2 linked regions of the Pelodiscus sinensis genome follow. The protein of the gene in region 1 interacts with the protein of each later gene in a biochemical or structural test. Links are inferred from orthologs where the notes say so. Each region holds a gene or a part of one and is shown on either strand. Other genes may lie near its edges.

Region 1 (15,938 bases):
CTGCGCCTTGCATTGGCGCTTCGAAACCTCCAGGAAAATGGTTAAAACTGTTTCTCAGAGACTCCCAGAAGCAAAAACCTACTGGGCCATAGGGTTGCCAGGTGTCTGGTTTTCACCCGGACTGTCTGTTATTCGGGTCCCCCGTCCGGTAAAAAAAAACAGAAAATACCGGACATGTGCCGTGTCTGGTATTTCCTGTTTCCCTCGGATGGAAGCCCCACGGGGACAATTTTCCCCTGCCACATCTGGCGGGAGTGGGGAGGTGAGGAACGCGGGGCCATTTAAAGGTGCAGCGCCCTTTTTTTTTTTTTTTTTTATTGTTCAACAGAATTTTTTCCCAGTGTTTTTTATTGGGGGAGGCAGGGTGTTTGCTATTTTTTGTTAAACCATCTGGCAGTTCTTCTGTGCCATCTGGCCCATCCCCCATGGCCTGTTCTCCCAGGCACTGGCCAGTTCTGGTGCTCCTGGTGATGGATGGGGTGTCCACCAGCTCCTTGAGGGAGAATTCTCCACAGCCAGATCCATCTCACTGAGCCTGGCCCCTCAGGCTGGATGGACCCCAGGCCTATCAGACCAGCCCATGTAGTATAGACCAGTGCTTGGGAGTCCCCATGAATCCACCTGGCCTGGTTCCGAACTGGAAACGCTGGCCAGAGCTGGTCAGGCCCTGGCCTGGGAGCCCAGGTTGCTGCTGACTGACGGGTGGGGGAATCTCTGGGGTCCCTCGTGCTCACTCGGACTGATTCCAATGGCAGGGCCAGCTGCTGGCGAAGACCTGGAACTCCGTGTTCGAAGGCACCACCCGCTTCAACGCGCGGGGCTTTCCCATCTACACCTTCAACGGCCGCGACGTGCTGACGGATCCCATCTGGTGAGCCGGAAAGGGGAGAGCAGCGCTGCCCGCATGCGGATTCTCCGCCTGCCCTGAGTACAATGGGGCAGTCGCTGTGGGTAGGGGATGGTAGAGGGCCCCTCATTGCCTAGTGACCTCCCGGTTCAGGCTAGGCCCTGGAGAAAGCCCAGGAGCAAAGGATTTTAAACCAGCCCCTGGAAAGTGGCACTTCCACAGAGGGGCCCAGCTTGCACCTGGGGCTGGCTGTGCCAAGTTCCCCTTGGCTTCCCCCAAAGGGTGGGCCCCCAGCACCTCTGAAAATCAGGCCCCATTTGGCCTTCTTCTGCCTTTCCCTGGTAGGATTGCCAGGTGTCTGGTATTGACCCGGACAGTCCAGTATTTTTGCCTCCTGTCCGGTAAAAAAAATTCAAAAAATACCGAACTCCTAAAATGTCCGGCATTTCCTGATTTTTTTTCCCTGCAATACTAAGCACCTGGCAACCCTACACACACTCAGCAACTGGGCCCAGCCCCCCGCCACTCCCTCCCGCTTACCTGGTTCCACAGGGGAGCTGTCTTCTGGCTCCGAGAAGGAAAACAAGATGGCCACTGGCCACCTGTTAAAGCCAAAAAAGCCTCAAAGGCATTTCTTAAAGGGGCCATGCTGGGTTTTTTTTTTTTTTTTTTTTTTTGCTTAATAACTCTCAGGGTCCTTTTGGGGAGATCTCCCCCTTTTTTTTCTCAACAGAATTTTTTCCCTGGTGTTTTTTTGGGGGGAGGGGCACGTTGGGTATTTTTGGTTAAAGCATCTGGCAACCCTACTCCCTGGTCCCAACCTGGCGCTGTCTCTTCAGGGCTCGCAAGGCGATCTGGCACGGCTCCAGCCAGCGTGGGCACCCGGCGCCAAAGGAGAACTGCCAAGGGTGGCGGAACAGCCTCGCCGAGGGTTTTGCCTCGCCCCTGACCGAGGGGAAGCTCCTGGCTGGGCAACACCGTAATTGCTCCACCCCCTTGGTCGTCCTGTGCATGGAGATCAGCTTCCCTTACCTGCACATGTGGTGATGGGAGCTGCTGGGGGGCAGCCAGGGGCTGCCGTGGGCTGGTGAGCCGCCATAGCTGGATCCTGCCAGGATGAATGACAGTGAGCAGATGGTCTCCTGCCAGCCCTGGGGCTGCTTTTGGCTTTGGGGCTATTTCACCGTTATCCAGCCCAGTTGGACTCTGCCTTGTACCCATAGAGGGATCTGTCCGTCACCAGGTGGGAGGTCCATATGTGCAGATTAGAGACTGGCGGTGGGTCGGTAACCTCCCCTCCTTAACTCAGAGCCATGCCGCTGCGCCGTCTCCCCAGGCACTGGACCTAGTTAGCTAGTGCCAACCACAGGGCCTCCCTGCGAGAGGGGGGCCATTCCCCCAGAGCAAGGCCCCGTTGGGGTCCCAGGCAGGGGCTGCAGCGAGCACTGAGGTGCGGGGCAGAGCTGGGCTATGGGGCCAGTGCTCTCTGGCTGAGCTTCCCTGAAGCCAGGGGCGAGGAACCTTTTTTGGGCCGGGGACCACTGACCCACAGAAACATCGGCTGGGGGTTGCACACAAGGAGAAAGACATTGGAGGGCCCAGGCTAGTAAAATCCTGCGTGCCCCAGCCTGCAGGGGGATGGCGTTGGGGCTGGAGAACCAGCGTGGGCTCCCCAATGCTGGGGGGGAATCCCCAGTCTTGGGGGGCTGGATGCAGGCAAGCCGGGGGCTGCATCTAGCCCCTGGTCCTTAGGTTCTCCACCCTTCCCTAAGGATCTGTGCAGGGACTCTCCTGAGGAAGCTAAAAGCTCTTCTCCTATCACCAAGTAGAGGGGGGAGATGCCTGATCCATTATCCCGGAGCGCTACCTCTGTGTTCACACACCCCCCCTTCGGCCTCTGTCAGCTCCCAGCTGCTCCCCTGCCAGCGGGTGGGCCTGTCTTCCGAATGGGCATCCCCACCCAACTCAGGGACTGCCCCTAGCTCTGGCTGTCCCCAGCCGCTGCTCCTGAAACGCTCAGCAGAGAGCTGGGGCGGAGGGGCCGGCGTGATGGGGGTCGTGCAGGGGTGATTATATTTTAACGCCTCGGCCTGCACTAGGCCTTTCTGCCGGCCAGCATCATGGCAACGGGCGTTGCTAGCAGGCTGGGCTCAGCTCGCTCTGGAGACGAGCCGCCGGTGAGCATCCTGCGAGCTTGGAAAGCAGCCTGGTGCTTCAGCTGAAAATAAACCTGTTTCAAGTGTGGGATTTGGGCTGAGCTCTGAGCGCGGAGTGTTTGGATGCGAATGGCACCGGGCGCTCCCAGGCAGCGAACGGAGGAGCAAAGGGCTGCTGGCTGCCCCAAAGGGCTCGCATGTGGGGGCAGATCTCTGTGTGCTCCGCACCCACCCCCAGAGCCTGGGGTCTATGCTGCCGCTGGGAGCCAGCCTGGGGAGAAAAAACTTGCTAGAGCTTGCAGGTGAAAAACAGCACTGTGGGCGTCCAGCGCGGCCTGGCGAGGGGGTCGGGCAGAGGGGAGCGCCCCCGCGGCCACCCGTGCCAGAACCACCTTGTTGCTGTTTTTAGCTCAGTGCCCCGTGCAGGCCTGTCCGTGTACGCTGGGAGAACCCGTCTCCGCCGCAGGGCACGCAGGGAGGGGTTTTCAGAAGCGCTGGGCCCGCAGCTGACTCCCACTGCACCACCGGTACCTGCATGTCCAGGCCTGCTCGGCACCTGGCCAGCTGCAGCCTGGGGGCTCCGGAGATGCTGAGCTCTTGCCAGCCTGGCCCGGGAGGACAGCACTCGGGTGGCGCCAACAATCAGCCAGGAGGTCGCGCGAACAGGAGCTTCGGGAGCCTGCCCCGGCTCTTGCTTTGCAGTGATTTCCTCACGGTGGCAGGCTCAGGTTGGTTTTTCAAGCCACGCTTTCTGTGTTGCTAGAGCCTGACCATCCGCAGCTTTCCCTCTTCCTTTCCCTCGGCTGGGCGGTGGGTCTCTGGGTGGGTCTCCAGCTGGGCTTTCGTGTTCTAACCCCAGCCGAAACAGGGCTTGAGTTGGGAAGACCAGGGGCTCAATAGAAAATGGTCCAGATGGTGCTTGGGGCTGCCGTGAGGGCAGGGGACTGGACTTGATGACCTCATGAGGTCCCTTCCAGTTCTAGGATTCTACCCTACAGTGGCTGCCTGGTCGGCCAAGGGATGCAGGAGCATGAAGTGTGACCCTTCCGGGTCTTGAAGGAGTCTCTGCATGTGCAGGATGAGGTGCTGTGGTAGGGGACAGTGGGTAGAGTGTACACAGCAGCAAACCTCCAAGGCTGCATGAAGCAAAGGGTCAGCACCGCAGAGCTCCTTGCGATCAGAAAACAGCCTGCCCTTGCGGTGGCATTGCCTTAGCAGCCCTCCAGGCACAGCAGTGGCCAGTACAGTCCTCTGCTGATCCCAGCCAGCAGACACTCCAGGAAGGCGTGAAGCCCAGCAGACAGGCTGTCGACAGAAGCCAAAATGACTGTGGAAGTCACAGACTCAGGAAGGGCAAAGGGACACAGCACTGGGAGAGGGAGTGACATAATGCTTTGCCACAACCTCGTCTTCTCACTGACGTTTATATAACACCCTCTAAGCAATCAAACGTGCATCTGCAATTAATTTGTCTGATCTTTTCTCCTCTGTGTGCGCGCATAGTCGCTTGGCACTGCAGGGGTGTGTGGGAGCACTGGGCATCTCAGGCTGGTGTGGGCTTGGATGGTTGTTTCTGAGCGCAGCCTTTATTTTTAAAAGAAAAAAATAGTACTGGCCAGAAAGCAGCGAGACCTCCTCACAAGGGGAATCAAATTGCAAAGCCCCCGTGATCCCAGTTTATGCATGGCAGCCTCTTGTTTTCAGAAACAACAAGAAGTCCCATGGTACCTTAGGGTATGTCTACACTACAAAGTTAGTTCGAACTAACGGACGTTAGTTCGAACTAACTTTAATAGGTGCTACACTAGCGCTCCGCTAGTTCGAATTTGAATCGAACTAGCGGAGCGCTTAGTTCGAACTAGGTAAACCTCATTTTACGAGGACTAACGCCTAGTTCGAACTAGCTAGTTCGAACTAAGGGCTGTGTAGCCCTTTAGTTCGAACTAGTGGGAGGCTAGCCCTCCCCAGGTTTCCCTGGTGGCCACTCTGGCCAACACCAGGGAAACTCTATGCCCCCCTCCCGGCCCCGGACCCCTTAAAGGGGCACGGGCTGGCTACGGTGCCCGTGCCAGGTGCAAGCCTGCCAGCACCCAGCTAGCAGACCCTGCACCTGGCACGGCACAGAGCCACCCACCCGATGCCCCCCAGCCCACCCCCTCTTGCCGGGACCAGGCTGGCGGCTCCCGGGAGCTTGCCCTGGACCGCAAGAGGCGGGCACCTTCCTGGGCTAGTGCGGACATCGTGGACCTCGTCCACGATCTCCGCACTAGGCACAGGAAAGTGGCCGTCTAGGGCAGGAGAGCTGCCAGCCTGGCCACCCAGGACCAGGTGTGCATGAAAATCAAGGGGGTCCACTGAGACCCCCGACCCTGAGCCCTGAGCTTACAATGGCCGTACTGGGTCAGACCAAAGGTCCATCTAGCCCAGTAGCCTGTCTGCCAACAGCGGCCAACCCTAGGGACCCTGGAGGGGATGGACCAAAGACAATGACCAAGCCATTTGTCTCGTGCCATCCCTCTCCAGCCTTCCACAAACTTTGGGCAGGGACACCACTCCTACCCTCTGGCTAATAGGACTCCATGGACCCAACCTCCATGACTTGATCTCACTTCCCTTTCAACTCTGTTCTAGTTGTAGCCTTCACAGCCTCCTGCAGCAAGGAGTTCCACAAGTTAACTATTTGCTTTCTGAAGAACAACAACTTTCTCTTACTAGTTTCAAGCCTGCTACCCATTCCTTTCCTTTGGTGTCCTCTAGTCCTTCTTTATGGGAACTCAGGAAGAACTTTTCTGAATGCACCCTCTCCACCCAACTCCTGCTTTTAGAGACCTCTATCCTGTCCCCCCTCCATCTCCTCTTTTCTAAGCTGAACAGTCCCAGTCTCTGTAGCCTTTCTTCATCTGGGACCTGTTCCCAACCCCTGATCATGTTAGTTGCCCTCCCCTCTCCCAGCCTTTCTCTTCCCCTCTCCCACCTCCTTTTCCCAGTCTCCCCCAGTTTTTTTTCAATAAAGACAGAGTCAATGTTGGAAGAAACGTTATCTTTATTTTGTACATCAATAAGAAGGGGGGCTAAGGAAGGGTAAGTGGAAGGAGGTGAGGGAGGAATGGGGTACGAGCCCCCGATGGGGAGGACTGGGCTGGCTCTGTGGGCTCCTCACGGTGGAAGCTCTCCTGCAGCCCCCCAATTACTCCCTCTCCGCAGATGGCAGCCTGCGGCAAGTGCAGCTGGGCTGATGGCCGAGTGGTGTGATGTGCCCAGTGTGGGCACTCAGGGCACTCCAAGCCAGAACTTCTTTGCAAGCGGGGCACCCCTTAGAACTGTGTGTCCGGGGTGGGGGTCGGGACCCTTTAAGCGCAGCCCTCGGCTAGCCTGAGACAGCATCTCCATGCTCTAAGTCCTCCTTTTATGCCCTGCCGGCACTGCTTCCGGCCATCCTTAAGCCCTGTTCAGAGTCCACTCAATGTGGACTTGCTAGTTCGAACTAGCAAAACGCTAGTTCGAACTAGTTTTTAGTTCTAGATGCGTTAGTTCGAACTAGCTTAGTTCGAATTAACTAATTCGAACTAAGTTAGTTCGAACTAGCGCTGTAGTGTAGACATACCCCTAGAGACTAACCAAAATAGATAGAAGCACATGAGCTTTTCGTGGGTAAAACCCACTTCCTCAGATGAATTGGAGTGAAAATAACAGAAATCAAGAGATCAATGTAACAGCAGACGTCTCTGTCAATTGTAAGGCCCAAGTTAATGAGGCTAATTAACACTGGTCATACATAGCTTTTGATGTGGAAATGCAGATGCTAATGGCAGGGGAAATTGGCTTAGGCCCAGGGTAACAAAGCCATTAACTGGTTGAAGCATTACAAAGCCAATTTCTCCTGCCATTAATATCTGCATTTCCACATCAAAATCTATGTATGGGACACATCCAGCCCACTTAATTAGCCTCATTAACATGGGTCCTACAATTGACAAGTACTACTTCTACTATTATATATATATCTTGGTTTTTGTTATTTCCACTCTAATTCATCTGCTGAAGTGGGTTTTGCCCACGAAAGCTCATGATTCTATATATTTTGGTTAGTCTCTAAGGGTATGTCTACACTAGCTAGTTAATTCGAGTTAGGTAGGATAATGAGGGCGACCGGAGTTGCAAATGAAGCCCGGGATTTAAATATCCCGGGCTTCATTTGCATGTTCCCAGGTGCTGCCATTTTTAAATGCCCTGTAGTTTGAACTCCCTGCCCGCAGCTACACGCGGCATGGGCTAGGTAGTTCGAATTAAAGCTCCTAATTCAAACTATTGTTACTCCTCGTGGAATGAGGAGTAACAGTAGTTCAAATCAGGAGCTTTAATTCGAACTACCTAGCCTGTGCCGTGTGTAGCCGCAGGCAGGGAGTTCGAACTACGGGGCATTTAAAAATGGTGGCGCCCGGGAACATGCAAATGAAGCCTGGGATATTTAAATCCCAGGCTTCATTTGCAACTCCGGTCGCCCTCATTACCCTACCTAGCTCGAATTAACGAGCTAGTGTAGACATACCCTAAAGGTATGTCTACACTTGCACCCTAGTTCGAACAAGGGATGAAAATGCAGGCATTCGAAATAATCAGTGAAGCGGGGATTTAAATATCCCGCACTTCGTTAGCAAGATCTCACCATGCACTAGTTCGAATCACAGCTGATTCGGACCAGGACATGCACACCGGGACGCGTTCGTTCTAACCAAACCCCTTGGTTTGAACTAACGTTACTCCTCATTTATTGTCACTGACTTAAGAACGATCAATCAGTTTCTGCTGGCAGTTCTGAGAGAGATTTTGAAGGGGGTGAAGCATTCACCTTCAAGAGTGTTGTCCAGTTTTGGGGAGTGGCTGTTTTTGGATGTCTGGCTCCAGCCATCCAAGCCCTCATCTGGAAAGAGCTGAGGACCCCGCAGCTTCCTCATCCCTGCTGACACTGTGGGTGCTTAGCACCTCTGTGAGTCAAGCCTTGAGCGTCTCCTAATGGGCACTCAGCACTTGAGAACAGCTGGTTTTAGCCAGTAACTGGATCCTGAACAGCTGCCAGGGTTTCCCTTCCAGGGTACAGGGCACTGCCCGTATCCCTGGGGAAGATGGCGCAATCCACTCTCATGAGGTCACTGCAGTTGTGTCTATGACCTCGTGGGGCTCCGGGCTGCACAGAAAGACCGCCTCCTTGTTTACATCCCAAACCATCAGCCGTGCGGGAGGAAAGTCATTTCCCTTGACTGCCAACATCCCAAAGGGCAGTGGATGGAGACAGCAAGATGAGCGGGCAGGGCGATGGCATGAGGAAAACTCCAGCAGCTTCCGGGAGAAGTTCCCAGGCAAGGGCAGATGTGCAATGCCATGGATGTCTGAGATTCGGTGTCAGTGGCCAAGGCTAAGGGCTTCCCTGCCAGTGCAAAGCCTGGTTAGCGATTGCTGATCCTCAGGGTAGAAGCTGCTATAGAAACACCAGGTCAGATGGGTCACTGCCCCACAGTCCCTTTGTGCTGGCCACGTTGCCACAAAGGAGTGAGAGAATAGGTGTATATGAGGTCTCTGTGCCTACCACTGGAGCAAGAACATCTGCAGAAGACCCCCTCCACTTGCACTCCTTCCCAGTGCAGAGGGCAGGCTGGGGGTGCACTGGAGGAGGGAAAAGGCAGGGCAGGTGTAGCAGAAGGAGTTGGAGCAGCCCTGCATTCTACTGATTCTTGGCTGCCATGATCCAAGAGGGACTAAATTGTCCTAGTCCAGTGTTTCTCAACCAGTGGTACCAGTACCCTTAGGGGTACTAAAGAGAAGTCTGGGGGGTACGTCCACACAACTGAAATTTGGAGAAAACTGAATTTTTGTTTTAAGTTTTCTTATTTTTGTACTTTTTACACCCAAAAATGTCATCGCCCCCCCGGCTACCATTAAGTTGTTTAAACAAATGTGTTGCAATGGTAGAAAAAAATTGTCTCTGAAAACTATAGGTACTGGGGGTACTTATAATTTTTTTAAAGGGTACTTTATAAAAAAAGGTTGAGAAACACAGTCCTAGACTATGCTAGGGACTAAATTGACGCTCCAATATCACATGAACAAGGAATATGCAATCTCACCTCCCGAATGGCCCTAGTGCTGGTGCAGAAATGAATTCCCAGGGGTAACAATATGGCAAATGAAATTTAATGTTGATAAATGTAAAGTAATGCACATTAGAAAAAATAATCCCAACTAGACATACAATATAACGGGGACTAATTTGTCTACAACTACTCAAGAGAGAGATCTTGGAATCACTGTGGATAATTCTCCAAAATAATCCACTCTGGCTGTGTCTAGACTGCATCCCTTTTCCGTAAAAGAGATGCAAATTAGACACATCGCAATTGCAAATGAAGTGGGGATTGAAATCCCCCCCGCTTCATTTGTATAAACATGGTTGCCACTTTTTTTTCCGGCTCGGAGCTTTGCCAGAAAAAAGCGCCAGTCTAGACGGGTATCTTTCGGAAAATAAAGCCTTTTCCGAAAGATCCCTTATTCCTTATTTTAAGAGGAATAAGTGATCTTTTGGAAAAGGCTTTATTTTCCGCAAGATCCCCGTCTAGAATGGCGCTTTTTTCTGGCAAAGCTCCGAGCCGGAAAAAAAGCGGCAGCCATGTTTATGCAAATGAAGCAGGGGGGATTTAAATCCCCGCTTCATTTGCAATTGTGATGTGTCTAATTTGCATCCCTTTAACGGAAAAGGGATGCAGTCTAGACACAGCCTCTGTGTGCAGCAGCAGTCAAAAAAGCAAGCAGAACATTAGGAATCCTTAAAAAAGGGATAGAGAATTAGACAGAGAATATCTTACTGCCTCTATATAAAACCATCAGAGCCAGCTCTATGGAGCGTGGGGCCCGATTCCTGGGACGGGGCCGCACATGCGCGGGGCCCCGGGCGGCATGGCGCATGCGTCGCACACCAGAGGCACGACGCATGCGCTGTGCGTCCCAGATGTCACGATGCATGCGCAGTGCCCCGGGAGTACAATGCATGCATGGCCCCCCCCCGGGCACATGGCGCATGTGCCATGCGCCCGGGATGTCACAACGCATGTGCCGTGCGTCCAGGGGCCCCACGCAAGCGGTGTGCTCCTGGTGCACTGCGCATCCGTCGTTTCCCTGGGCACGGGACCCCCTCAGGCACAGGGCCCCACACTGGGGAATCGGCTGAATTGGCCTAAGGCTGGCCCTGAAAACCATGGTACGCCCCCGTCTTGAATACTGCATACAAATGTGATCGACTCATCCCAAAAAAGAAATATTGGCATTGGAAAAGGTTCAGAAACGGGCAACAGAAATGATTAGGGGTTTGGAATGGGTTCCACATGAACAGGATTCACCAAGTGACGCGAGCCCTGCTCGCCAGCCACGCGGTTTGGCACACTGCGCATGCGCAGATCGTGCTGCGCATCCACTGAGCACACTCTGCGGCTGTGCCGACTTGTAATCAACTCGCCATGAGCGAGTAGATTACACGAATTGTCGAGCCCTGCATATGAAGAGAGATTAAAAAGACTGGGACTTTTCAGCTTAGAAAGGAGGAGACTAAGGGGAGTATATGATAGTGGTCTATAAAATCATGACTGGTGTGGAAAAAGTGAATAAGGAAAAATTTACTTGTTCCCATAAGAACTATGGGTCACCAAATGAAATTAATAGGTAGCAGGTTTAAAACTAACAAAAGGAAGATTTTCTTCACAGAGTGCACAGTCAGCTTGTGGAACTCCTTGCCAGAGAAGGTTATGAAGACCAGAACTTTAACAGGGTTTAAGAAAGAACTAGATAAATTCATGGAGGTTAGGTCCATCAATGGCTATTAGCCAGGATGGTAGGAATGGTGTCCCTAGGCTCTGTCTGTCTGGAAATGAGTGACAGGGGAAGGATCACATGAGGATTACCTATCAGAGGGGGAGCCGTGTTAGTCTGAATCTGCAAAAGCGGCGAGGAGTCCTGTGGCACCTTATAGACTAACTGAAGTGTAGGAGCATAAGACACTGACGAAGTGGGTCTTTGCCCACGAAAGCTTATGCTCCTACACTTCAATTAGTCTGTAAGGTGCCACAGGACTCCTCGCCGCTTTATGAGGATTACCTGTTGTGTTCCCTCCCTCTGGGGCATCTGGCGCTGGCCACTGTCAGCTGATACTGGATACTGGGCTAGGTGGACCTTTGGTCTGAAAATGTATGTCCTTATGTTCTTTTGACAGAAACCTGAGAAAACATCCTAATACTTCAGTCTGTACTTGGGGAAAACTCCCCTTGGCCGGTGCCAAGGGCTACATCTACACTGGCATGATTTTCCGGAAATGCTTATAACGGAAAAGTTTTCCATTAAAAGCATTTTCGGAAAAAGAGCATCTAGATTGGCAGGATGCTTTTCCGGAAAAGCATTTTTTGCGGAAAAGCGTCCGTGCCAATCTAGACGCACTTTTCCGCAAAAAAGCCCCAATCATCATTTTCGCGATCGGGGCTTTTTTGCAGAAAAGAAATCTCTGCTGTCTACACTGGCCCTTTTCCGGAACAGTTTTCCGGAAAAGGACTTTTGCCCGAACGGGAGCAGCATAGTTTTTCCGGAAAAGCACTGATGATTTTACATGAGATCGTCAGTGCTTTTCCGGAAATTCAAGGGGCCAGTGTAGACAGCTGGCAAGTTATTCCGGAAAAGCGGCTGATGTTCCGGAATAAGTGGCCAGTGTAGACACAGCCCAGTGGCTCCATGTGGCTCCCTCCCACTGCCACATGGCCACGTGGGCTGAGTTACCCCCAACACACATGGGGAGCCACTTGGTGGAGGTCAAAGGTTGAACCTGATGACCTTTGCCCTCGTGTCTCTCCTGCAGACCTAGCTACCTCCGGCTTCATTGTTATTGGTTCAACCGCCTGCCTCTCACGGGCTGTCCCAGCTGATTGGCGGAGTTTGAAAACCTCCCGCGCCTCTCTTTCCCGGCGTGTGAATGGCTGGTTTGAGCGGGCCGGCGTCCTGCGATTGGCGGGGGCGGTCCGCTCCGCCCCCAGGCCTTGCTTGCCCGCAGGCCGCGCGGCGATTGGTGGGAAGGCGCCGCGCTCGGCGTGCTGCGATTGGCCGAGGGCTCTGGGCGGGCTGGACGGAGGTTTGAAGGGCTCCCCCCGCGCTCAGGCGTTAACGGAAACGGACCTTTCGTCCGGGCGGTTGGGATCCACCAAGCAGAGACCCTCCCCCACGATACCGGACCGAACCGGGTTCCTCTGCCCCCCCCAATACCGGCCACTCCCCGATCGGGACCAGACCGCGATCCCCCCCCCGATACCGGGACCAGACCGCGATCCCCCCCCCGATACCGGGACCGAACCGGATCCTCCGCCCCCCGATACCGGGACCGAACCGGATCCTCCGCCCCCCACACTCGGGACCGAGCCGGACACCCGGGCCCAGCGCCATGGAGCTGGTGGATTCCCTCTCGCCGCTCAGGGTGGGTCTCGGGAGCCCCAATGCGGCCTGGCCCGGCCCGGTTCTAGCCCCCCGGGGAGCGGGCCCGGTACCGGGGGCCCGTTTCCCGGGATCGGGGCCCGCGGGGTCACGCGGCGTTTGTCTCTCCCCAGCCCGTGCACGAGAACCCCAAGGTCGGCAAAGCCAAGGAGGCGGCGAAGAAGCGGCTGTCGGTGGAGAGGATCTACCAGAAGAAAACCCAGCTGGAGCATATTCTGCTCCGGCCCGACACCTACATCGGCTCCGTGGAGTTTGTCACGCAGGTAAAAACGGGCTTGGTGCCGCAGGTGGTTCTGCCGTTCTCCTGCTTGCCTCCCCAGGGCTTTGTCAGTGTCCATCTTGGGATTTACTGGGTGCTCCAGGCAAGGAGAACCCAACCCCCCCCCCCCCCCCACACACACACACACCCTGCCCAGCGCATGGGGTCGCAGCACACAACTGGGGCAGCCAGACACTTCCCACACCGACATCTGCGGTGCATCCCCTGCTCTCTGCCCATCGCACTCTATAACCCATAAGGCAGGGGTTCTCAAACTTGTGATACCGCGACCCCCCCCCCCCCTCTCGGTTGCTCGCGGACCCCCCCCCCCCCATTGATGCAACCAGCCTTTCAGTTGCTCACGACCCCCCGCCCCCCCCCGGGGTCGGGACCCACAGTTTGAGAAACCCTGCCATAAGGCATGGACATGGTTTAGTGAGCATGACTAGAAATCTGCAGATCGTGCTTCCTTAAAACCATCTTGCTAAATTTGAATGGGATGTTTTCCCTTGTGTTTTAGTGTGAGTTGAACCTCTCTGATCTGGTACTCTGGTCCAGCAACATCCGTGGTCGGGCATGATTTTAGTGAGCCAGATGTCTGCTTATGGGTACGGCCAAGTTTCCCAAAGTCCCATAAAGTTTGTCCATAGTCACCAGTCCTGGCTCTCAGGGGTCTGTGCTGTTATTTAGTTCTAATATATCTCTAAATGTCTTCTAAGAGCCTCGCAAGCCGTAGAAGCATTAGTAATGCTGCTAGACAATGGTTTACATTCTCTGGTTTCGCATCAGTTAGGTCCTGAGGGTGCTGGAGTAGAGGTTCAACCTGTACTGATATCATCTGAGCAACGTATGTAGCTTAGGGTATGTCTACACTACCCCCCTAGTTCGAACTACGGGGTGTAATGTAGTCATACGGAGTTCCAAATGAAGCCCGGGATTTGAATTTCTCAGGCTTCATTTGCATAAAGCCGGCCGGCGCCATTTTTAAATGCCGGCTAGTTCGGATTAGGCGTACAGATAGTTCGGATTAGGAAGTCTAATCCGAACTAGCCGGCATTTAAAAATGGCGCCGGCCGGCTTTATGCAAATGAAGCCCGGGAAATTCAAATCCCGGGCTTCATTTGCAACTCCGTATGACTACATTACCCCCCCTAGTTCGAAGTAGGGCTGTAGTGTAGACATACCCTTACTTGCATAGTCACCTTGCTGTAATTTAGAAAGAAATTACAGTACTAAAGAAAGCCTGATCAGTGGCACTTAATTCCTGGACATAAGTGGAAAATCGCTAATGTTTTAAAGACAGTTTGGAGCGCAATGTGGTTTGGGTATATAAACAGAAGATCAGGAAATCATGGTAAACCTAAAGAGAGTGTTTCTTTTTTTTCAGCAAATGTGGGTTTATGATGAAGATGAGGGCCTCAGCTGCAGAGACGTAACTTTTGTGCCTGGGTTATATAAAATCTTTGATGAAATTCTAGGTAAGTCTGCAGAGATGACAGTTCGGTTGCTAGCAATTTATTCCACTGATAACAAATTGTGGATGTTATATGTGTTAAATCGGGATGTTAGCGATTATATGATAAACCTGGGCTTATTGGTTAATCCTAATGACTACAAGCCCTCCCCCCCCCCATTGCTGCTTCTGTATCAGAGTCAGCAAGGGAGGGGAACATCAGAGTTGGTGCCCACGAGCACAGGATCCCACAGAGCCCCCTCTTCCTCTCCCCCGCTGCCTCTGAGAGGCAGCAGCATGGAGGATATGGGGGGCAAGCTGGACCCAGTACACCTGGGAAGCCAGCTTTCAAGCCAGCTCCGGCTCACATGAAGCTGCCTGCTCCCCCATGCTGCTGCCTCTTAAAAGCCAGCTCCTCTTGAGTACTGGTGCTATGGAGCTGCCCTCCTTCTGCCCCACACTACTGCCTCTGTATCAGGGATGCCAAGCACTCTGTCCGTGGGGAGCCCAAGCTCCCTGTGGACAGGGGCAGCAGGTGGGAGCCAGACTGCATAGGGAGCAGGTTTTAAACCCGGCTCCACTTGCAGACCAGCTCCCGCCTGCCACCCCACGCTGCTACCTCTGATACAGTGGACACAGTGTGAGATAGCAAGAGGGCTCCACAGGAGTGCACTGGCTACCAGCCCTGCCACTGGGGACCATTGAATAATCATGTAACCAATAAGTTTTGGTGGGGTTACATGGTTATTCAGTTACACAATATCTAACCTCCCTAATGTTAAATAAGAATCTGTAATGAAAATGTTCGTAACTTTTGCATCATTTGATCAGCTCTGTAGTTGCTCAAGTAATAGTTTGATAAATATAATTATCCCTGCCCTTTTCACTGTTGGATAAAAATGAGTAATGTATGATTGTAATTTAAAATAATGTTTCTGAATTCTGAGGACTTGAATGATAATCCTTTGAAATAATGCTACTTTGGATTCTGTTAGTTAAGACTCAGCTGAAAACTTCCTCTTCAACATGGCAAATCTGTCAAGTCCAAGCTGATTCTCCATGGCCTCTCTTTCTGAATTTGTGTATTTGTTCTTGTGAATACTTTGCACTTACTTTTGTTGTAAGCAGCTCAGATTTAAGTGTCTCATCTGCAAATGTAATTTGGTAAATTTACAGTCCTTTCTCCATTTCAGTCAATGCTGCAGACAACAAGCAGAGGGATAAAAACATGTCCTGCATTAAGATTACAATTGATCCGTAAGTCTTATTACATTTTTGTTGAACAGTTTTTATTCTCCTCTGATACCTGTATAGAGAAAGTAGCTCAGCGTTCTGGGACTCAAAGATTTTCTTTTTCTGGTGCTCTTTTATTAGAGTGGCTGTCAATGACCGGTCTAACGGACCCCGATCCTTGAGAGCTCCCTGACTCAGTTTAGGAAAGCAACAAGCCAGTCCCTGGCATAAAAAAGATTGAGAAACACTGTTGTAGCTCAACCAATTTAGACAAAATGTAACTTTGCAGCTCATCAAATATTAACCAAATGTGAAAGCTTGTGTTTTCCCTGATCTGGTTCTCCCATGAAGTGATTTCAGGTCAGATCACTGCGTTTAGCTTTTATTCTCCATTTTGTCTTTTTCAGTTTATCTCCCCCCTCCCCCCAAAAAAACCATGGGCACATGCACCTTTTACTCATGGTATGTTTCATATCA
Region 2 (15,911 bases), on another chromosome or scaffold:
TCTGACATTAACCTCCCTCGATTTATTTTATTTTTGGCCTCTGTATTTTGATTGTTGTATCTTTACTGCTACATTATGGCCATTATTTCTGTGCTTATGGCCAAAATATCAAGGGGGAGGGGACATAGGCTGGGAGGACTCCAAGGCCTGCATTAAATATTAAAGGAGGAGGGGGAAGGGAAATGAAATGAAAACCTCTGCAGGGATCCTGTGCTGCGCATGTACTGGCCGCAAGAGGAAGGAGCAGCAGCTCCACCTACAGGATGGGAGGTTCTGGTGCAAGCCAAGTGCTCCCAGAGGTGCTTGTGGGTTTGCTGGCATGCCAGGAGGGGAGAGCAGGAATCGGGTGCTGAAGAGCATTATTTTTAGAGCCTCCACTAAAAGCTGGCACTTGGGTGCTGTTGTGCTCATTCGTTCTTGCAGGCTTCACCTTCATCCAGATCTTTGTAAGGGGAAGGCGTGGAGATTTCTGCATGTGCAAAGCAACAAGGGAGGTTTTAAAAAATGTCTCCTTGAAACACACGCCGCAGAAGTCCTCGCACCTTGGCGGAATGCTCAGTCCCTTGCAGGCGGAGGTACAGGTCAGCGATATCTGTCTACCTAGCTGTTTTCATGAGACTCATCGCCTAGGTTTCTAAGCACCAGTAAAACAAAACTTAGGTTCTAACTAGGGATGCAAAAGGTTTGAGTGATGCTACAGAGCATCTGAAGCGGGCCCAGGGTGGTCACAGGCAGAGGCTGCTCCAACCGGGTTCCAGCCCGCCCCCCCTTTAATTGGTTAACCAATTAAACATGATGTTTAACCAATTAAACAGGATTGTACATCTCCTCTAGTTCTAAGAATCCCCCTATTGCTGTGGTTTTACCCAGATCCTTTATCTGGGGTGATCTGGCTTTTTCTCCCATGACTCTCTATTGTTGGCTTACTCTCATGGATTAGATGACAGTGCGAATGAATGCATCTTACAGAGGGCCCTAAAGAATGCAAGTGCACCATGCTTCCTGGTGGGGTGGGATGGGGTCCTGTCCCTGTTCCCTCTGCAGAGGAGAGTCCCAGAGCTGACTAACTGCTATCCTGACGGTGAAAGCCCTCTCTGGCATAGTGGCCATGAGGACAGCCTTTGGGGCATGTTCAATGCCTCTGGAAACTCCCTGAGTTGCAGTGTATGGGCTGGGAGGCAGTTAGACTAACTGCAGCAACCTTAAAAAGGCAGGTTCCCCTTAAAGTGCATTCAGCCCTGGCAGAGGGACACAAGCTGCAGGGGGAAGGCTCTCACGTCAGCGGTGAAATAGCATGAGGGCGCAGAGAGGAGGTTGTTGTTAGATGAAAAGAGAAGCTGAGGGAGGGGTAGTCCTGGGAGAATTCTGCAATGTTACTGTGGCTCCAAATGCAACAATTGCAGAATTCCCCTAGCACTACTAGAGGGAGGCGGGACCAATGAAGTCAGCTGGATCAAATTAGGATCCTAAAGTGCACAAGGAGTGGAGTGCTTTGAGAGTGGGGCAGTAATCTGTCACTGAGCTCTCAGTCCACCTGCTTGGCTCAGGCTGCCTGCTAATATTTTTGTGCTCAGGTATCACAAGATGCATCCCAGCCCCCTCTAAAAGATACACATCACCACTACCTAAAGCCTCATTATATCAGGGATGGCCAGAGGATTCACACTCTCCAGGGGAGAAATGCACTCCTACTCCAGAACCTTTCCTTGCTCGGTATTTAACCCATCTGCAGTTAGCTTAGTCTGAATATTTTGTTCCCTGGCTCTTGAAAATGCATCGAAAAACTAAAGTATCACTCTGAAAATACACCCTTATGACCTGTAAGGGCTGATCTATCCTTAAGTTAGGTCAGCATAGCTGCAGTTCTTAGGGTTGTGAACAATTAAGCCAACCTAACCCCCAATGTAGACGTGGTTAGGCTGATGGTAGAATTTTTCCATTAACCTAGCTACTATAACATGGGAGGCAGATTCCCACACAGACAGAAACCCCCTTCCATTGCTGTAGGTAGCATCGTCTACACTACCATGTGGCAGCACCATAAATGCAGCTCTGTAACTATGCCTCTGTAGCGCCCCTAGTGTAGACCTGGCCTAAATATCAGCGATCTACTCTGCTCCTTTTTATACTTCTCTGCCTTATATGTAGCTTCCTTCACAGGATCTCAGAGTGCTTCAAAAACATCAGACCAAATTCTTCTCTCAGACTGGTACAAATCTCTTACTTGCAGGCTGTGGAGTTACAGCCATGACAATCTGGTATGAGAGGAAAAACCGACCTGTTGTTCTGTCAAGCCCCTGTGCAATAGGGAAGTCTCCTTGTCCCATTTTCACAGATGGAGAAACTGAGGCAAAGAGCATAAGTAACTTGCCCAAGGTCACACAGTAAGTCAGTGCCAGGACAGCATCCAGGCGACCTGACTCTCGCTCTCTCCTTGTTTAGAGGCTAAATATATTCCCTCTTTTTTAATTTATTTTCAATCAGGATAAACAGCATTATGGGATAAGAACTATAATCCTATGTAGGATGTCACTGGTTAACTGGGTGATGGTTACTGGTTAACCGGCAGCCTGGATGGGCTGGAGCAGCCCCCTGGTCTAATGTGGGCAGGGGTCCGCTCCAGCCTAGCTGGGCCTCCTGTACCATGGGCAGGGCACCCTCCAGCCTGGTCCATCTGGAGCAGCTCCCTACCTGTCTGCGGCACAGTGGGCTCGGACTGTGCAGCCCCCACAGTGCAGAGTAGAGGGTGTGACCTGAGCAGTCCCTGCTTGCGGCAGGCCTGGCTGGGTTGGAAAAGCCCCCCACCCACAGCGTAGTGCAGCCAGCCCAGCCCAAGCAGCCTCTGCTTGTGGCCCAGGCTGGAGCAGCCTATAGCACAGTGGGCCCTGCTGGGCTGGAGCAGTCTCCTGCCTGCAGGAACCCATTTAAGTCTTTAACCAGTTAACCGTAACATTGAATCGGTTAATTGATGAAATGGGATCTTTACATCCCTACTCCCATGTTTCTCAAACAGCAATAAACTACCATAATAAAAGTTAGCGCACAACACAATCACTTTGTTTCATAACTTCCATGCCAGTCAGTAGTCTCCTGCTGAATTCCCCACACCTACGCCCCCAGCTTGCTTAAGAATGATCACAGACAGCGGTTGGCAGCACATATGGGTGAGAGAGGGCCAAATTTGCTCCTAGTGTAACTCCAGTGGTGTCGGTGGCATTTCGCTAGGGATTGCTTTGGCCTGCTGAGTCTGTCTGGGGGTGTGCTTTCTCCCTGTGACATGAGGAGCTATCAGCTGTTGCAGTTGCTACGGTAACGGTTTGCATTTTTAGCACAAACCCTGGATTTTGCCAGAATGTAAGTTGAGCCCCATCGACCTGATTAACACACTGGCCTGTCAGGGAAATTGTCTAATTATCTTCTGTGAATATTTGTAGCTGTCGTCAAAGTGCAAAAGTCTCTTGAAAATCTCTCTCCTCCCCAGCAGCATTGGTTACGTACACTCCCTTTGCACGGTTGGGAGTTTATTCTCCTCTCTGTGTCTACCCTGCAGCTGGGAGGTGCAATTCCCAGTAGATGTAGGCCTGGTCTGTGCTAAAAGTTAGGTTGACCCAGCTATGTTGCTCAGGGGCTTGAAAAATCTACACCCTGAGGCTGTGTCTACACTGGGCCACTTATTCCGGAAAATCAGCCGCTTTTCCAGAATAAGCTGCGAGCTGTCTACACTGGCCCTTGAATTTCCGGAAAAGCAATGATGCTGTACTGTACAAAATCAGCCGCTATTCCAGAAAAACTATTCTGCTCCCGCTCGGGCATAAGTCCTTATTCCGGAACACTGTTCCGGAAAAGGGCCAGTGTAGACAGCCCAGTAGTCTTTTCCGGAAAAAAGCCCTGATGGCGAAAATGGCGATAGGGGCTCTTTTCCGGAAAAGAGCATCTACATTGGCCACAGACGCTTTTCCGGGAAAAGGGCTTTTCCGGAAAAGCAGCCTGCCAGTGTAGATGCTCCTTTTCCGGAAAAACTGAAAACGGAATAGTATTCCGTTTTAAGCATTTCCGGAAATTCATGCCAGTGTAGACACAGCCTGAGGCTATGTCTACACTGTAGCATTTTTGCAGAAGAGAAAATGCAAATGAAGTGCTCATTAACATTTCTTGCGCTTTATTTGCATAATCTCTTCCGATCTTTTTTATGGAAAGAAACGCAGTGTAGACAGGGCCATTTTGCGCAAAAAAAACCCCTTTGCTCAAGATCCCTTATCCCTCAAAAAGGAGATAATCAGGATCTTGTGCAAAAGTGTTTTTTGCCCCATCTACACTGGGGTTTTTTTCCGCAAAAACCTCTTCCACAAAATGGATCTGAAGAGACTATGCAAATGAGAGTGCGAGAAATGCTAATGAGCGCTTCATTTGCCTTTCCTCTTCCGCAAAAATGCTACAGTGTAGACGTAGCCTGAGTGGCATAGTTAGACTGTGTCTCTGGCGGGATAGGTCAGCTTAACAGGTGACAGAAGAATTCTGAGCTGCCACCTCTCAGGGTGGGGACTTGCGTATGTTGATGGGACAACCCCTCCCTAGTCCCAACAGGGTCTACACCGAAACACTCCCGTGGTGCTGCTTGAGGCATTTCAAGTGTAGACAAACCAGCAGCGAGGCCGTGGTGTGAGCAGTGGGGCAGTGCAGTTGGGTGGGTCAGTGACTAGTCAGATAATCAGCCTCTCCTACCTGTAGGTAGCACAACAGCTGTCTTGCTAGTGCAGTCCCAAGTTGCAGAGGCCGCTATGAAGTGGCGCCGCAGCCTGTACTGTTGGTGGGGATTTTGTCCACTCTCCCTGGTGACCCCACTGTGTTCCGGGGTTCCCACTTCAGGAGCCAGTGCTACCAACTTTCCTGGGGAAGAGCTCACTTTGGCATTCCCCACGGTTGTTTACTGAGGCCAGGTGTGCACTACAGACCCCTATCGGTAAAACCCACACTCGAGCAGCATAGTTATGCCAGTTTACGCCCTGCACTGTGCAGACAGAGCGGTGTCCATGGGATGATTCTCCCTCCAAGATAGCAACTGCCTCTCAGGGAGGTGGATGAATTACGCCGGCAGGAGACACTCACCGGAGGCTGTAGGATTTCGTCACTTACGCACTACAGCTGCATCGATGGAGCATTTTATGAGTAGTCTTGCCCTGCGTTCAGATGCTGATGCGTAAGAGTTGGAAAATGAACAGGATTAGAGAGGTGGGATATTTAGCATTTTGTCATCAGTTTCCCATCCCCAAAAGGCTCTATCTGATGTGTGAATGGGAGCTGAGCTGTCCTGAAAAATCGGTGGGATGTCAACAGGGAAAGCGAATGGTGACGAGCTAATGAATTGAGTTTCCATACTATAAGGCCATGGGCGCCCGGTGGCTTAGGCAAGGGAAGACTTTGCCTTCCCAAACGGCCAGCCTGGTCATGCCCACACTCCGCCCCCAGCGTGCCTGGGTAGGCATTCTAGGGGTGGAGAGTTGCTGCCCCCAGTGCCTGTCCTCCCTGTGCTCCTGGCCGGGGAGGCTGGAACCACCTGCATCCCTTCCCTCTCTTCCTTTCCCTAGTGCTGTGGGGAGTGCTCGGCGTGCTGCCCCACCTCCTCCCTGGGAGGGCGGGGTCTCAGCAGAGGGGGTAGGAGGCCTGCCTCCCCCGGTCCCAGCTGCACCAACCACCCATGTATAAGGCAATAGTTGAGGTGTGGGTGTGTTTTGAGCGAGTCCGCTTTCATCCCACATGCCTCCGGCTTTACAGAGCCGGGGCAATGCTCAGACAGCTTAGGGGGTAGGTTACCCTACACCGAAAGTTTGAAAAGGGGCTTCCCTTTGCCCATGTCTTTCAACCCTGTCGACAAAGGACAAAGGCTTTCTGCAGCTCCTGCTCACATTAGGGATATTAAAATGTGTTTAGTTTGGTAAAGGTGTACCTGCTGAAAATGTCAGCAGGCACACATTTGCTTGCAGAGAGCAGGAAGGGGGGAAGGTGTGGCTCCCAGGGAGCCTGCCCCACGCTGCTGCTAGAAGCAGCAAAGGGGAGGCAGAGGTGTCTCTGCAGGAGCCAGTATGTGTGGGGAGATGACTTGAAAGCTGGCTCCCTGCACATGGCTGCTCCCACCTGTCCCTCCGCAATACTGACACAGAGGAAGTGGAAGTGGGAGGAAAACAGCTGGGCGGGAGCCAGTATACTTTTAACCTGACTCCCCACATAAACTGGCTCAATTTCATAATAGTTTTGCTTTTCATATTTTAAGATGAAAACATATTGTCTCAGAACTCCAACCATCTGAAAAGATTTTTTTCCCCATTTTTCTTTTAACAAAAATCCACTCTAGTCTGACTTTAAGCGAAGAAAGTTTCAACTCCAGAGATGACAACTTTTTTGGAAAGTTGTGATCAAGGGAAAACAGAAGAGGTAATAACCAAAATCCAGATGTAGCTGTAATGCAGAATCAAGAATTTAGGCCCCGATCCTGAAAGTTGGCCCACCTGGATAGAGCCTTGGACTCCTGTACAGCCTGCTGCATGTTCTCTGTGTGTCCTCATCTGTAAAATGGGACTAAGGATACTACCCTCCTTTGTAAAACACGGGGGTGTGATGGGGAAGAATCCGAGAGACACCTGAAATCTACTGATGAAAAGTGCCACATACAAGCTGGGGATTATTTATTTATTGACATCTTGGGGCTCTGCACAAGCAGGAGTTAGGCACCTAGGTACATAAAAGACCCACTTGACACCTCTCTGCATGTAACATAGCCTTAAAAAGCCTAAACAGCGTTGCCTCATTGCTGGTGGGTTAAAGTCAGACTTAGGAGACCTGGGTTCTATATTTAATTCTACTGCTAGCTTATTGGGTGCTTTTTGTCAAATCGCATCCCTTCTCCATACATCGGTTTCTCTACCTGTGAAATGGGGCCACTGATATTGACCTCTTTTGCAAAGCACTTCAGAGGAGAGACTGGATAAGAGGGTTATTCTTGCCTTTCAATGACATCTAGGCTCCTACGTGCATCTGTGATGTCTGCAAACAGGCATGGGCGTCATGGAACATTCTGCCTTAGGAGTTTGGCCCCCATCTTTCATGGCCTTTGTGCCATTTGTGGCTGTGAAAATGTCTCCCATTGTCCCTAAGGTCTAAGATTTTTAAAAAGGGAGACATAGAATCGTAGAAGTGGAAGGGACCTTTTGAGGTTGTCCAGTCCAGTCCCCTGCACTCATGGCAGGATCAAGCACCATGGACAGGTAATTGTCTAACCTGCTCTTAAATATCTCCAATGATGGAGATTTCACAACTTCCCTGGGCAATTTATTCCAGTGTTTAACCACCCGGACAGAAAGATTGTCCTGATGTCTAACCTGAACCTCCCTTGCTGCAATTTAAGCCCATTGCTTCTTGTCCTGTCCTCAGAGATTAAGGAGAGTAATTTTTCACCCTCCTCCTTGTAACAACCTTTTAGAAACTTGAAAACTCTTAGTATGTCCGTTCTCAGTCTTTTCTTTTCCAGATTAAACAAACCCGATTATTTCAACCTTCCCTCAACGGCCATGTTTTCCAGACCTTTACATTTAGGCCTATAAATCCCCAATCCTTTAAAGATTTATGGGCATGCTTATGTGCATGGTTAACTTGTTTATGTGCAGGACTTGTCATAGTGCATAATGTTAACCATTCTCATTAAGACTTTGCAGAATAAGGGCCTGACTTCCAAAAGACATCAGTGGGAGCTGCTCCGTGTTCAGCACTTTTGTAAACAAGGTCATTCCGAGAGATGCCTAAATATGAACCTAGCAGTCTAAGTTTGGGCACGTAAATCTTGGCCAGGGATCAACAGTGTCTTTTTGTCTTCTTTGTGTGGTTGCCAACACTTGCAATTTTATTACAAGGTCTCATGATAGGCGGTGACTTTCTTAAAAGCCCCGACTTCTGGAAGCAAGCGATTCCATTAATATCTAAGGGTACGTCTACAGTAGAAACACTCCAGTAGTGGAGCTTCCATGCTGCAGCTGTGCTGCACAGTTATTGCCAAGCGAATCCACCTCTCCACAAAGTGGTAGCTTGTCTGATAGAAGAATTCTTCTGCCAACCTCTGTATCTACTACTCCAGGTCTTAGGTCAGCTTTAATTACATGGCACAGGAGAGTAAATTTTTCGCAGCCCTGAACAATATAGTTGGACCAACCCAGCTTTGTATTTTAGACCAGCTCTTTAAAAAAAAAGTTACTAATCCCCTGTGGCTGTGGAAAAAAAGCTTGAGTAGAAAGGTTAAAAGCCAAAAGGGAAATTAAAAGAACTCCAAATATATTATTTTTTAAAATCCCATGACTTTTAAGCCATTCTTGTGATATTTTGAACTCCTATGGCTGGCCCAACAAAGTTTGAATGAAAAACAGCTGGAACAAATATACAAGTTTGAAAAGTGCTCACTGTATATGCCCAGCAGAGATTCTGAAAGGGTGAACAAAGGAAACCAATTCCAGCTCATGTCCTTTTATGCTGCTCTGTGATGGGTAAGAGAAATCCGAAAGATGTATTTGTTTTATAAAAGGTTTGTTTCTGGTTTCACAGAGGCTTTTCTATTTTAATTTGCTGTGGTGGATATGTATGTGTGTATAGGGGGGATGGCGGTTTGTTTTCCGAAAGAACATTTCATATGCATTTGACCCCAACACATTCAAAGGAGATTCTTATTCTGGCCATATATAATCCAGGTTTGCGGTAGGCTTTGGCCTGATCTGCACACCACATAGGTGGATGCAGCTATAGAAGTGCGGAGTGTGACAAATCCACACTCCTGCACGCTGTAGCTACGTCGACCTCACGTCCAGTGCAGACACAACTAGATCATGGGAAAGATTCTGAAACTGAGGGCACAGCGGCATCCCCTGGCTCGGAGCAATTTCCACCAAACTGAGTTTATTTACAGTTTGATTCAATGGCACACAGCACCCCAGCTCTGCAACTTGTACCCCAACTAGCGTGTACATGCCTTGCTGGGGGGAGGGCAGGATTATCCCCGGAATCCAGGGGCTAACTTGCCAGAGCAACAGCCCCCCCCATACGCTCCCCTGCAGGCAATGCAGAACTAGGCACCCCATGAATTCAACGGCACGGGGGTGCAGGAGCCAGCATGGCCTTGTCTCCCACCCCACGAAGCCCGTGGCGGGTTGGCTGCGGTGAGCCCCTTCATAAGCAATGCAGGGGGCTAATTGCTCTCTGCCTCGCCTTCCCATTAATGGCCTTTGTTAGCCCGCCAGTGGGCTAATTAATTATTAATTAATTAATTAATTAATTAAAGCCCGTTCTCTGGCTGCCCCGCCCGCAGACGAGGGCCCTGTTGCTGGCCGGGGCCCAGCTCCCCGGGAGGAGCGGGGTTTGCAGCGCCCCGTTCTGCCCCGGGCCTGGCGCTGTCCCCCCTCCCCAGCCCCCCGGCTCTGTCACTTTAAGAGCCCGGAGGCGGCTAGAACGGGGTCATGGGCGGGGCGGGAGTGGGCGGCAGCGCGCGTGCGCGGGCGGGCGGCCGGCGAGGGGCGGGGGGCTGGAGCGCGATGGGATTGGTTCCCCGCTCTTCCCTAAGCCCGCCCCCTCGGGGGGGGGGGGAGGAGGGAGGGCGAGGAAGGAAAGGGTGCGTGTCACGTGACTCGGCGGCGGCTCCCGGCGCGCCGGTGGACGCTGGAAGCCAAGATGGCGGCGGAACTGGTGGAGGCGAAAGTGAGTGAGCGGCCTCCCCTCAGCGGGGGGCGCGCGGGGCGGGGCCCCGGGGGCGGCCGTGGCACGGCCGGGGAGCGCGGCTCCCAGCACCCGGGGCCGGGCGGGCCCCTGGGACCTTCCCTGCGGCAGGCGCCGCTGGCTCCCACCTCCCCCGCGGGCACCCGGGCCGGCCTGCTCGCCGCCCCCCCCGCCCGGGCCTCGCCCGCCAGCTCCCTGCGGGCCCGGGCCGAGCCTCCCCGGGCCCGGGCCGAGCCTCCCCAGCCCCGCCCCTGTCGGCCGGAGCCCTCGCCCGCTCCCCCGGCGGCGCCGTCCCGTTACCAGAGACCCCCCCCCCCCCGCCGCCAGCGTCGTCCCATTCCCCCCCCCGTGTCCCTACGGGACCCCCATCCCCTCGCGTCGGCTCCGTCCTGCCTCCCCGCCCCGCCATAACCATCCCCGGGGGCTCCCTGCCCTTCTGTAGCTGACCCCGGAGACCCCACCCCTCCCTGTACCCACCTCCCAGTGTCAGTGCCAGCCTGTCATCCCCCCTCTCCGAGACCTCCACCAGCAGCCTCAGCATTTTCCTGTCTGTGCCAACTCCACGGGCCTTCACTCAGCCTCTTTGCATCCCCAGGCTGATTCCTGTGCTTCCCTTGGGGCCTTTCCGGCTCCCCCACTGACCCCTGAAATTGCCCACCACTTAGAGCTTCCCCTGTTTTCATTCTGTGCAGCTGATGCTTCAGATTCCCCACCCACCGCTGTCTTGGCATCTTCTCATCCCAACACTGAACCCTAAGATCTCCCCCATTTTAGCAGGCTGTGATAAAATGATTAAAACAGGCATACTGCTCCCCACACACCTTGGCTTTCCTCCCGACACTCTTCTCCTCCCCCCCCTTCATCTCCTGCTACTATTGCCTCTTCCCAAGTAGTCATTGCCTCAGGTCCCTCCTGCAGTTCTCCCATCTACTCTCTCATTTTTCCTTTCCTCTGTGACTCCCTCATGACGCCCCCTTTCCTGTTCCAATCTCAGCTCTCTGGGCTTCAGAGTGAAGAGTTTGTAAGTGCAATTGGGGGTGTGAGTGTGAAGTGATGACATCCAGGTTTCCTCCACTGACATTTTAGGAAATGGTTTTGGAGTGAGGGGTGAGTGAACTGTCCAAATGTCTCCTGTGGGTCATATTGTTTGCAAAGTTTACCCCCCACCCCTATGAAAGCATAAATGGATTGTTTTATTATCTGAATTGAAGGTATTGAGAAGCTTCCAGAGAAGTGAATATGGAGGTACCTAATGAATGAGATCTGAAGCTTTAAGAGTTCTAGAGAAAATGTTGATAGTCTATAAATCTGCATACATTAGAGGATTCTGTGATATCTGATGTATTTGGAGGTTGCTTAGTGACATGACAATTTAAAAAAAATATTAAACTGCATTATACTTACAAAATATTTTGTGCATGACGAGCACCGTTGGAGAGAGGAAGACTTGCACAGATTCCAAGATTGAGTCCAGTTCTGCTATGTGATACTGCTCTCTGCATGAGTAGGGCTCTTCAGTTCCTGCCTGCCAGTGAGTGGAATCACAGGTGTACTGTCTGTGAAGCAGAACTGTAACCTCACAGTACAATAACAAGACTTCCAGGATAAAGTCCCATTCTTGCCTGTCTAAAGACTTCAAGTGACTTCAGTCATGGCTGAAGGTGCTCAGCTTCTGGCAGGATTAGGCATTAAGTAATGGAATAACAGGGCAGACCCAGTGAATGCTGTGAATCATAGAACTGGCTTATATAGGGCAGACATAAAATGTAGAAAACTGTACATCTAGACATAATGGTGGCTGATTCCCCTTCTTGTGTTAAGCCTTCTTTATTATTGTGGGCAGAAGCCCACCATTCCTCCGAAAGGAAGTATCTTAAAGATATCTGTTGTCTGGCTGTAGCGAGAATTCATTATCTTCCATGCTTCAACACACAATTTGCTGTCTTTTGGCTGCACAAGGCTTACATCTATATTCACTTTACAATAATCTCATGAGCTAACGAGAACTGCATATTCCTACCACTCTGAGTTAGAAGCCTGAGGTTCTAGACTAGAGATGTAAAATCCTGTTTAAAATGTTAAGCAGTTAAACATATGATAACCAGCTCCTCGCTTAGGGTCTGGCTGGACTGGTGCATCCCTCCCCCATGGTAGGCACCCTGGAAAGCATGGCTTTGTCAACACTGGTTAACTGGTAATCCCAATTCTAAACACATAGGCTATGTCTAGACAGGCCAGTTTTTCCGGAAAATCAGCCGCTTTTCTGGAAAAACTTGCCAGCTGTCTACACTGGATGCTTGAATTTCTGCAAAAGCACTGATGATCTCATGTAAGATTGTCAGTGTTCTTGCAGAAATACTATGCTGCTCCCGTTCGGGCAAAAGTCCTTTTGCGCAAAACTTTTGCGCAAAAGGGCCAGTGTAGACAGCTCAGATTTGTTTTGTGCAAAAGAGCCCCGATCGCGAAAATGTCGATTGGGGCTTTTTTGTGGAAAAGCGCGTCTAGATTGGCACGGACGCTTTTCTGCAAAAAGTGCTTTTGCAGAAAAGCGTCCATGCCAATCTAGATGCTGTGTTCCGAAAATACTTTTAACGGAAAACTTTTCTGTTAAAAGCATTTCCGGAAAATCATGCCAGTCTAGACACAGCCATACAGGTTAAACCCTTGGGACTTGGCCAGTGCCAAACCAGATAATTTGCAAGACCATGGTGGGGGTGGTCAGTATTGTGTAGCAGCATTTCCAACACTTTCACTGCTTACTGGGCTCTTAGAAGTCTTATGGGGTAAATTAGAGCTAAATAACAGCACAGAACACTGAGACAGGACTAGTGGCTTTAAAGAAACTTTATGGGATGACGGGAAACTTGGCCACACCCATACGTGGACATCTAGATAACTAAAATTATGTGGGACCACGGATGTTGCAGGGCCAGAGTGTGCCAGACTAGAGCGGTTCAACCTGTATTTCTTTGTGCTAAAATAGCCTGCTTTGCTTTTTATTCAAATCTGATAACGTCTCTAGACCCAAAATCTGGGTAAACATAAATTGCAAAAAAGCAGCAAGAATTATATGCTTAATACATCAAGAAGACAGGAAATTAGGCAGTGAGCACAGGGATAACTCTCTTGTCTGGTGCTTTAGTCCTCTTTGCTGTAGTCCTCAGAATGCCCCAATGGGGTATGGAAAAGTTCTGTTACCCTCATCTTTCAAATGGGTAGTGATGCACAGAGAGATTAACTTGCCTGGGGTCACACCAGGAGCATGAGGTGTAGTAAAGAACTGAATCTGGGTCTGCTGACTCCTAGATTACTTTCCTAACCACCAAACATCATTCATTGGCTTGCCAAAACTCTCTCCCTTCCCCTTTTTTCTTTTTTTCACTGAAGAGATTCCAGAACATACAATCACACTACTAAGTGTCTCACTGAACCCAGGTGTATTGTGATGCCTTCTAGGACTGCTTCAGTGAAACAGGAAGTCCAAGGGGATTTTACCGGAAAGGGGAAGAATAAAATGCAAGAGGTTAATTATTAAAATTTACGTTGACAGAGCTATGGCATTCTGGTAACACCCCCCTCCCCCGCACCATGCTTGTGCCCTTCTCATGCCTAGTGTAGACACAGCTGTGTCAAGGGAAGGATGCTTCCATCAGTAGGGAGGGGAGTGTTGCTGCAGTGACCAAAAATACCTTCTGTCACTGAATGCTGTCTACATTTCAGGGTTATGCTGGTGTAGGAGAAGCGCTATTGCTGCTACGGTGCCATAGTGTAGACATGGCCTGTGTTGAATTTCATGCCCCCCCAATATTGTTAATAAATATTTCTGGATTTAATTCAGTTGCTGTTTTTCCTTTAAAAGTTGGCTTGTCAATTTTTTTCATTGACAGTAAGAATGTTATCTTCAACCTCTTTTTGTAAATTAATAATCTGATTTCAATATTTATTTTCCATATAATCAGGAAATAAATATTGAAAAGACTTAGGGCCTGATAGGGACACCATTAACAGTCATGCTTACTAGTTCCAGTTAACTGTTAACCAGGGAGGGCTGAAGCAGCTCCTTGCCAGCAGGGGGCTGCTTCTGTCCCCAGTGGACCCCCACAGGGCTGGGTCAGGCTGAAGAAGGGGGAAGGGACTGCTCCCGACTGGCCTCAGCCCCCTTCCCTCCCTTCTGCATTAATCAGTTAACCAATTAATGGGATTTTATATCCCTAGTGTCTGATTTCATCACCTACAGCTGGGCATGTAGAATTTATGTTCTAGAAGATTTTTCCTATATTTTTGAAAACTGTGAACAAGATGCAAGGATAAATGCAAATGTTCAAACATATTTTCAGGGCTCGAAAAGCACTTTGTTCACTCTGGGTCTGTGTGAAATTTTTTTGGCAATGAGGAAGGCGTCAATAATCAATCTCTGCAGAACAAGAGCATTAATTTTAATTAATATTTTCTTGGTCTTATCTTTATGAAGACTGTCTTCCAAGTGTAGATCATTGCTGTGCTTCACTGCTCTCTGGCTCTCACCCCAGGCAGAAGTGTGAAGTTGACAAGTGGTCAATTTCAGTGTTGTTCAAAACCTTAGGGTCAGACTGAAAATTGGTAGTTTCTTTGGGCTCCCTCAGAACCCTAACAGAAGTAAGCATTGGTCCTGTTCACAAGAGAGCAGATTGAAGGAAGCGAGATGTGGGCAGAAGTAGTTAATAACCCCGATACACTTGCTCTTCCACTAACCAGATGCAAGTTGTGTCCCTGGGACTGCAGTTGTTTCCAATTGTTACCAAGAGATTGCTTTGTACTTATCACAAATTATTTGGTAATTTAGTGACTAGCTTGTCACAGCTTTCAGGTCTGTGTATACTGACCAATGTTCAGTTTCTCTCTTATATATTGCCATTGCACAAACAAGTGTCAAATGCATGACACATTAATCACTTGAACAGCATGCCATTGAAACAGAAGGCTTGGTGTCAGTCCTTGCAAGTAAATTTTAATATTTTGAGTTCTAGGGTATAGACTCTGGAGAGAATTGTCACTTGATCTCTTTATAACTTTAAAAATCTTTTACTTTAATGTTTTACCTTTATTTCCTAGAACATGGTGATGAGTTTCAGAGTCTCAGACCTTCAGATGTTACTGGGTTTTGTTGGCCGGAGTAAGAGTGGACTTAAACATGAGCTGGTCACTAGAGCATTGCAGCTGGTCCAGTTTGATTGTAGCCCTGAAGTTTTCAAGAAAATTAAAGAGCTCTATGAGACTCGCTATGCCAAGAAGAGCTCTGAATCAGGGCAGCCACAGCAGCACCGACCTCCAGAGGCGCTCTCTATACATTCTTCCTATGACCGAGGGAGCACTGTTGCTAGGACTTCTCTCTCCACTCCTAACATTGACTATCCAGCACTCTATGGGAAATACCTTAATGGACTGGGAAGGTTACCACCCAAAGTTGTAAAGCCTGAAGTTCGGCTGGTGAAACTTCCCTTCTATACCACCTTGGATGAACTGCTGAAGCCAACAGAGCTAGGTGAGTCTTTCGTATATGCAGATACAAGACTAATAGCCAGGACTCAGTTTGGAAAAGGACTGAAAAAATATGCAAGTTTTATGGCAGCATTTTTGTTGAACAGTAAGGACACATAACAGAGAAAATCAGTAGGTTCTCTTCTAGTTGGTCTCCCTTGGTTTGGAATAATATTTGTTGCTTTTTTTACCTTTCTTGAAGCAGGAGCTGCAATTCCTTTGATAAGTGACTTGAAAGCCTATCTTGTTTTGATGTAGTCTTTGTATCCTTCAGTGAAAGTGCTGCCTTAACATATTGCATCCTTATGTACTGACTGATGTGTCCCTGCACTAGTCAATGTAGGGGGGCAGCTGTTTTCTCCATCAGTGTTATAACTACGCTAAGCTGGAACAGTGCCTTTTCTATACCGATATCAGTTAGCCTAAGTCTGCCATGATAAAGTGTAGAACTAAGTCTACAATGGCACTTCACTGCACTGTACATCCCCTCCCCTCCCACTTCCATGAGCAAAGCAAGTTACAGCACTGTAGAGCACCGGTGTGAACCGGGCTCCCAGTGCTGTTAGCTAACTGCTCTTGTGGAGGTGGTTTACATAGAGTGCTGGAAGAGGTGCCTTGGCTACACTTCTAAAATTGTAAGTGTAATCAAA

Evidence for each region.
Region 2: of the proteins of TOP2A (region 1) and PIAS4, one has a biochemical effect on the other in vitro, tested with the Homo sapiens proteins (2 studies listed by BioGRID). The link is inferred for Pelodiscus sinensis from reciprocal best matches to the Homo sapiens genes TOP2A and PIAS4.

Annotation. Positions count from the first base shown.
Region 1 is NC_134739.1:10,726,769-10,742,706, forward strand, and holds the start of TOP2A (DNA topoisomerase 2-alpha), read left to right. Parts: upstream 1-8,211; 5' UTR 8,212-8,300; coding exon 8,301-8,360; intron 8,361-12,190; exon of another isoform or gene 12,191-12,466; coding exon of another isoform or gene 12,467-12,499; intron 12,500-12,629; coding exon 12,630-12,779; intron 12,780-14,162; coding exon 14,163-14,253; intron 14,254-15,421; coding exon 15,422-15,485; intron 15,486-15,938. Other genes in the region: uncharacterized protein LOC102455445, read left to right, coding at 756-871, 1,687-1,894. UniProt on the Homo sapiens protein: Key decatenating enzyme that alters DNA topology by binding to two double-stranded DNA molecules, generating a double-stranded break in one of the strands, passing the intact strand through the broken strand, and religating the broken strand.
Region 2 is NC_134729.1:22,020,714-22,036,624, forward strand, and holds the start of PIAS4 (E3 SUMO-protein ligase PIAS4), read left to right. Parts: upstream 1-9,593; 5' UTR 9,594-9,699; coding exon 9,700-9,726; intron 9,727-14,835; coding exon 14,836-15,265; intron 15,266-15,911.